2 linked regions of the Xenopus tropicalis genome follow. The protein of the gene in region 1 interacts with the protein of each later gene in a pairwise test. Links are inferred from orthologs where the notes say so. Each region holds a gene or a part of one and is shown on either strand. Other genes may lie near its edges.

Region 1 (3,565 bases):
AGCTATGTGAGCTCTTTCAGCAGAATAACAAAACACCTTAACTCCTAGCATGCTCGGTAACTAGACAGATAGATAGATGACAGATAGATTAATAATTAGATAGATAGATAGAGATGATAGATAGATAGATGATATAGATATTTTGCAGTTTACATTGTTGACAGCAGGTGGTGCTAGAATACCGCTATTCCATTAATTCCACTTATATTACCCAATTATACCTATGTTAGGGACAGAGTGCCAGTGAACTCCATTAGGGAATGAGAAAGGGCATCAGATGACCAGCAAAATATTTATGGGGAAAAAAACTGATCAGTTTTGGAGTCAAACAGCTTGAAATTGGATTACCCATCTTAGTGCTTTCCCACACCCCTCACCTGTTGGCGTTCTCCAAGGTTTCTACTTTCTTCCACAGGTCGTTGTTCTGTGATGTGAAGGTTTCCACTCTAGAAGGACAAGCACAACAATTGTCCTTAGAACTCCACCATTCCAGAGCCACCCTGAGCCCAAAGCCACCCTTATCCCAGAGCCACCCTGAGCCCAAAGCCACCCTTATCCCAGAGCCACCCTGAGCCCAAAGCCACCCTTATCCCAGAGCCACCCTGAGCCCAAAGCCACCCTTATCCCAGAGCCACCCTGAGCCCAAAGCCACCCTTATCCCAGAGCCACCCTGAGCTCAAAGCCACCCTGATCCCAGGGTCACCCTTATCCCAGAGCCACCCTGAGCCCAGAGCCACCCTTATACCAGAGCCACCCTTATCCCAGAGCCACCCTTATCCCAGAGCCACCCTGAGCCCAAAACCACCCTTATCCCAAAGCCACCCTGAGCCCAAAGCCACCCTTATCCCAGAGCCACCCTGAGCCCAAAGTCACCCTTATCCCAGAGCCACCCTTATTCCAGAGCCACCCTGAGGCCAAAACCACCCTTATCCCAGAGCCACCCTGAGCCCAAAATCACCCTTATCCCAGAGCCACCCTGAGCCCAAAGCCACCCTGTACAAGTAGACCATGCAGGTAGCTTCTTAACTCCTTCCCCTCCTCCTATCTCTTTTATCATTCCCAGGTCCCTTCATACACAACCAAAACTCTTCTTTCTGCAAGATATTTTCCTTCTTTTTCCATCCTGCTTCATACTGATCCTCAGCTCTTCTCCAAACATCTACCTGACCTCTTTATCCAAGTGATGTCCGGTGTCACTTCTGAAATGACCATTCCAAGCACTATCCTATGACTAAGGCTAATTTCATTGTTCATTTCATTGTTCCCTTCTATAAGCGGAATAGTTGTGTGCAGGATCACAAAATTCCCGTTTCCTTCATTTACTGCTCCACTGTCTTCCCAAAATAATAGCAGTCATTTAGTTTCTTCATCATAAAACTTCTCACTAAGTGACTCCCCAGCCGTATCCTGATTCCAAGCCCCCCGCCCTTCCAAGTCCTGACAAGTATGGCACACAGCTAAAGTATAAAGGATCTTCTCAACCTTGACAACTCACTTTTTCTCCAGACACTCCACATATTCCTTTTTTTTCCTTCGGCTCTCTTGGGCTGAGATCTGGATGGGAAGATTTAGAGATTTGCATGAGTGCACATATCTATGATCAAACTGTAGCCTCTTCAAATCCCATTCATCATTCAAGCAGTCTGCCCATGGGCTCTCTTTAATCTTCCATGTGTTCTGGGGTATTATACATGGAATTGGCACTGTATTTATCCTGCTGTGTGTTCTGGGGTATTATACATGGAATTGGCACTGTATTTATCCTGCCGTGGGTTCTGGGGTATAATACATGGAATTGGCACTGTATTTATCCTGCTGTGGGTTCTGGGGTATAATACATGGAATTGGCACTGTATTTATCCTGCTGTGTGTTCTGGGGTATTATACATGGAATTGGCACTGTATTTATCCTGCCGTGTGTTCTGGGGTATTATACATGGAATTGGCACTGTATTTATCCTGCCGTGGGTTCTGGGGTATTATACATGGAATTGGCACTGTATTTATCCTGCCGTGGGTTCTGGGGTATAATACATGGAATTGGCACTGTATTTATCCTGCTGTGGGTTCTGGGGTATAATACATGGAATTGGCACTGTATTTATCCTGCTGTGTGTTCTGGGGTATTATACATGGAATTGGCGCTGTATTTATCCTGCCGTGTGTTCTGGGGTATTATACATGGAATTGGCACTGTATTTATCCTGCCGTGTGTTCTGTGGTATTATACATGGAATTGGCACTGTATTTATCCTGCTGTGTGTTCTGGGGTATTATACATGGAATTGGCACTGTATTTATCCTGCTGTGTGTTCTGGGGTATTATACATGGAATTGGCACTGTATTTATCCCGCCATGTGTTCTGGGGTATTATACATGGAATTGGCACTGTATTTATCCTGCCTTGTGTTCTGGGGTATTATTCATAGAATTGGCCCTGTATTTATCCTGCTGTGGGTTCTGGGGTATTATACATGGAACTGGCGCTGTATTTATTCTGCTGTGTGTTCTGGGGTATTATACATGGAATTGGCACTGTATTTATCCTGCTGTGGGTTCTGGGGTATTATACATGGAATTGGCGCTGTATTTATTCTGCTGTGTGTTCTGGGGTATTATACACGGAATTGGCACTGTATTTATCCTGCTGTGGGTTCTGGGGTATTATACATGGAATTGGCGCTGTATTTATTCTGCTGTGTGTTCTGGGGTATTATACACGGAATTGGCCATGGGAAACTATGAAGATATCTGTGTAGAAAATATCTTTAAATAGCTTCCCCCAAACACAAAAATAGCCGTCTGCCAAGGCACTCTTCAGACCACCAAGTTACGTATGCCCAACATTCTCTTGGGTGCTGCATTGAAAACCCTTAATGTCAGTCTGCCCCCAATAAACCTCTAAAATAATACCAGGAGCAGAGGACACTTTACTAAAATTATTAAAGATTTGTGGTGGAGTCACTCTTCGGGCAAATGATGGATTAGGTGGCTGCCTAGTTTCAAGGATTAAGGATAGGTCCCACAAGATGACACTGGAAGGGTATAGAAGCCGCCATTCACCTTATTCTTGATCTTTCTTCGCACTCTCTTCAGAGCCTTCTCTTCGGTCTTTGTAAGGGGGAGTTTAGTGGGAATGGGGTAGCCCTCAGCGATTAGAGTCCGTCTCTCCTCCTCGGTCAGCATCAACGGGCCAGATGTGCCTTGTAGTTTCTACGCACCCAAATAAAAACAGACATTACAGCTTCTCTACGACACATCATTGTACCAGTATATTTAACATAGGGAGAGTCCAACGTGTGACCAAGTTTCTTTTGTTGTAATGTTACTTATCTCCAGTAACATAACCCAAATCAAATATTAATGGTTATTGGCTACTAGAGATTTTTGGGCCAAGGCCATGAGTAAACATCAGCGGGTTGGTGTGCCACCTACCATCTATCCCACAGAGCTGACCATAGAGATTTAGACAAGGAATACTCACATGGGGTGCAGTAAGTAGTGGTGATGAGGATATAGCATGTGAAGAGCGCGGGGCAGGACGGGCTGGGCTTGGGGGTGGGA
Region 2 (4,336 bases), on another chromosome or scaffold:
GTACTGCACCCAGCCAGCCACCCATTCTCTGTACTAGTACTGCACCCAGCCAGCCACCCATTCTCTGTACTAGTACTGCACCCAGCCAGCCACCCATTCTCTGTAGTACTTCACCCAGCCAGCCACCCATTCTCTGTACTAGAACTGCACCCAGCCAGCCACCCATTCTCTGTACTAGTACTGCACCCAGCCAGCCACCCATTCTCTGTAGTACTTCACCCAGCCAGCCACCCATTCTCTCCAGTACTGCACCCAGCCAGCCATTCTCTGTAGTACTTCACCCAGCCAGCCACCCATTCTCTGTACTAGTACTGCACCCAGCCAGCCACCCATTCTCTGTAGTACTTCACCCAGCCAGCCATTCTCTGTACTAGTACTGCACCCAGCCAGCCACCCATTCTCTCCAGTACTGCACCCAGCCAGCCAGCCAGCCATTCTCTGTAGTACTTCACCCAGCCAGCCACCCATTCTCTGTACTAGTACTGCACCCAGCCAGCCACCCATTCTCTCCAGTACTGCACCCAGCCAGCCACCCATTCTCTGTAGTACTTCACCCAGCCAGCCACCCATTCTCTGTAGTACTTCACCCAGCCAGCCACCCATTCTCTGTACTAGTACTGCACCCAGCCAGCCACCCATTCTCTGTACTAGTACTGCACCCAGCCAGCCACCCATTCTCTGTACTAGTACTGCACCCAGCCAGCCACCCATTCTCTGTAGTACTTCACCCAGCCAGCCACCCATTCTCTGTACTAGTACTGCACCCAGCCAGCCACCCATTCTCTGTAGTACTTCACCCAGCCAGCCACCCATTCTCTCCAGTACTGCACCCAGCCAGCCACCCATTCTCTGTAGTACTTCACCCAGCCAGCCACCCATTCTCTGTAGTACTTCACCCAGCCAGCCACCCATTCTCTGTACTAGTACTGCACCCAGCCAGCCACCCATTCTCTGTACTAGTACTGCACCCAGCCAGCCACCCATTATCTGTACTAGTACTGCACCCAGCCAGCCACCCATTATCTGTACTAGTACTGCACCCAGCCACCCACCCACCCATTCTCTGTACTAGTACTGCACCCAGCCAGCCACCCATTCTCTGTACTAGTACTGCACCCAGCCAGCCACCCATTCTCTGTACAGGTATGGGATTCATTATATGGAAACCAGAAAGTTCCAAATTATGGAAAGGCCATCTCCAATGGACTCCATTTTAAACAAATAATTCAGATTTTTAAAAATGATTCCCTTTTCTCTGTAATAATAATACAGTACCTGTACTTGATCCCAACTAAGATATAATTACCCCTTATTGGGGCAGAACAGCCCTATTGGGTTTATTTCATGGTTAAATGATTCCCTTTTCTCTGTAATAATAAAACAGTACCTGTACTTGATCCCAACTAAGATATAATTACCCTTTATTGGGGCAGAACAGCCCTATTGGGTTTATTTCATGTTTAAATGTTAAGGCATGGAGATCCAAATAACAGAAAGACCCCTAGAATACCCTAGGCCTGAGCATTCTGAATAACAGGTCCCATACCTGTACTGCACACCACCCAATCTCTCTACCACGCCCACCCAAAGCCACCCAGGGGATAACTGGGAGCAGGGAATATGATGGCGCCTCTGCACACATTAGTTTGGGCAACAAAGCAAAGCTGCAGAGCAGATAATTAGCAAAATATACACAGAACAGTATTCTTTTATTTGCTTGAAATGTTCCATGCTTGTTCTTTAATGGTGCAAGACACACAGAACATAAATAGCACAATGTGTGGCCGACTCCATTGGGAACTTACCGTAGACGAACTGCGAGTTGTCTGTAAATGAAAAGAAAACAAAGGACAAGTTAAAATCATTTGCTTCAAGCAAACTTCTCTGTGTATGAAAGTTATCCCCGAGTACATATGGACAGTCTCAGGATCTGGATGAAGCCCGCAGACACAGAGCCTAGGGGCCACATTTCAGTTACTTACGTTCGGGACTCTTAGCATGGAGACCAGGGAGAGCTGAGGGGGAAATAAGAGATATAATAATTATATTATTCAGGGGGTGGAACAGTCCAATAACTAGAGCATACAATCATTTACTTTTAGTATGTTACAGAATGGCCAATTCTAAGCAATGTTTTTATTGGTCTTCATTATTTATTTGTTATAGTTTTTAAATTATTTGCCTTCTTCCAACTCTTTGCCGTTTTTAAAATGGGGGTCACTGACCCCAGCAGCCAAAAAAAAAACCTATTGCTCCAGTTTTATTGTTATTGTTACATCTTAGAACTTCTTTTTCTATTCAGCCCCTATCTTATTCATATTCCAGTCTTTCATTTAAACCACTTCCTGGTTGCTAAGGTAATATGGACCCTAGTGACCAGATAGCCGCTGAAACTCCAAACTAGAGAGCTGCTGAACAAAAGGTGAACACAAAGGTGAACAACCCCATTAAGACCCACTCTCTGCTCAAACCTAGATTAAAGCTGCCAATTATGGGGGCCCTAAACCCCCCTTAGGCTTGCTGTGTTTGACTGTACACTCCCAGCATGCACTGTAGTACAGGTAGCTGGCTGAAGGCAGCCCGAAGGCAAGGAGGGACTTTGAAAGCCTTTAAATAAATAACTGCACGGATCTAACCCTCAATCCTCCAACGGGAAAATGGCTTCTTCCTCCATATTGGGACAGACATATTCTACCCAAGTTATATAGGATTTGTACATACCTGTCAGCATCAAAAAGAAGGCTACTGTTGCTTCCTGCATCTTCTAGCAGCAGTTCCTCGCAGCCTGGGGAGAAAGCAAAGCACAGAGTAAACAGCCGCACCTTAAGTAGATTGAATTTGCTATTTATTTTATACGGTCGCACACCAGATGTCACACTCAGTGATTGGCCGGCAGACTCGGGGTAGAAGGGGTTCATAGAACAGACAGGAGCATTAAATAAAGGTATATGCCAACTATACAACAATAACTTCATCAAAGGCAAAAGCCAAAGGATAAGTTTAGTTTCAGAGCTATTAAAGTTTTTATTAACTGCCAATATAATGAATTTTGTAACAGCGCCACCTGCTGGTCAGTTCCTGTAACTGTACAGACAGAGATATCCCTTCAGAAGGAAAACAGAGAAGGGTTCTGATGTTGCTCTAGAAGGAGATGGGAAAGGGCAACTGAGGTTTCTGATCTCTTGGTCTGACCAACTATTGGATTACACCAGTGGAGGATGGACTCGCCAAACCCCACCGCCACTATTTCCTTGCAGAGAAAGGCAGCAGTTAAAGCTGCAGATTCGAGTCCTTTAGACCAAATAATCTGATCCCTAGGGCCAAAACGTTAGAATTAGCCCAATATTGCCCACCTTAAGAGGTCATATTGGAGAAAGATCCGCTCATTTTGCGGATATATAATACAATTATATTTTTTACAAATTATGGCCACCTTAACAGGAACAACCCAGAGCAGTGTTAGTAGTGTGTATGCTCCTTCCCTTCCATCCTCATTTACATAGCCTGAATTGTGCTAATGAGTAAATGTCATTAGGAAATAAGACACTATATAAGTATATTATCTATAAGAATATTCAGGTATCAGACCCCTTATCCGGAAACCCATTATCCAGAAAGTTCCAATTTATGGAAAGGCAAAATATACATTTTTATAAATAATTTACTTTTTCTCTGTAATAATAAAACAGTACCTGTACTTGATCCCAACTAAGATATAATTACCCCTTATTGGGGCAGAACAGCCCTATTGGGTTTATTTCATGGTTAAATGATTCCCTTTTCTCTGTAATAATAAAACAGTACCTGTACTTGATCCCAACTAAGATATAATTACCCCTTATTGGGGCAGAACAGCCCTATTGGGTTTATTTAATGGTTAAATGATTCCCTTTTCTCTGTAATAATAAAACAGTACCTGTACTTGATCCCAACTAACACATATAATTAAAAGACAATTTGCAATTGGTCTGGGATCATAGGAGTCACAGTGCACACAAACAAGCCAAGGCACACATACATGCTAGGCCCCATCAGCCAATGAATGGGCAGAGTTCTGCCTGTTACTCCCACACTACTTCCTGTTACAGTTAGAGCTGCATCACTTCCTGTCAGCTGATCTCTGAGGGAGCACACAGCCCATCACTAAATGGCGGCTCAAGGGAAAGGATGTGAAAGGGCAATATTTACTGATATATATTTTCCAGTTTGGGGAGATTCTTTAATAGGCCACTTAACATAATATAAACGGTCTGTTGGTTACGTATTCATCCTGGGGGTGTAGTTTCCCTTTAGCTGGAGAGAGTAACGCATGAAAATCAGTTTTATAGACAGGGAA

What was found. The genes of interacting proteins can lie anywhere in the genome.
Region 2: the proteins of creb3l1 (region 1) and fxyd3 interact in binary tests that used the Homo sapiens proteins (3 or more experiments, as listed by UniProt). The two-hybrid records come from large-scale screens. The link is inferred for Xenopus tropicalis from reciprocal best matches to the Homo sapiens genes CREB3L1 and FXYD3.

Annotation. Positions count from the first base shown.
Region 1 is NC_030680.2:13,410,539-13,414,103, forward strand, and holds part of creb3l1 (cyclic AMP-responsive element-binding protein 3-like protein 1), read right to left. Parts: coding exon 3,486-3,565; intron 3,215-3,485; coding exon 3,065-3,214; intron 1,555-3,064; coding exon 1,496-1,554; intron 447-1,495; coding exon 378-446; intron 1-377.
Region 2 is NC_030683.2:126,673,877-126,678,212, forward strand, and holds the start of fxyd3 (FXYD domain-containing ion transport regulator 3 precursor), read right to left. Parts: upstream 2,803-4,336; 5' UTR 2,762-2,802; coding exon 2,722-2,761; intron 2,016-2,721; coding exon 1,983-2,015; intron 1,827-1,982; coding exon 1,806-1,826; intron 1-1,805. UniProt on the Homo sapiens protein: Associates with and regulates the activity of the sodium/potassium-transporting ATPase (NKA) which transports Na(+) out of the cell and K(+) into the cell.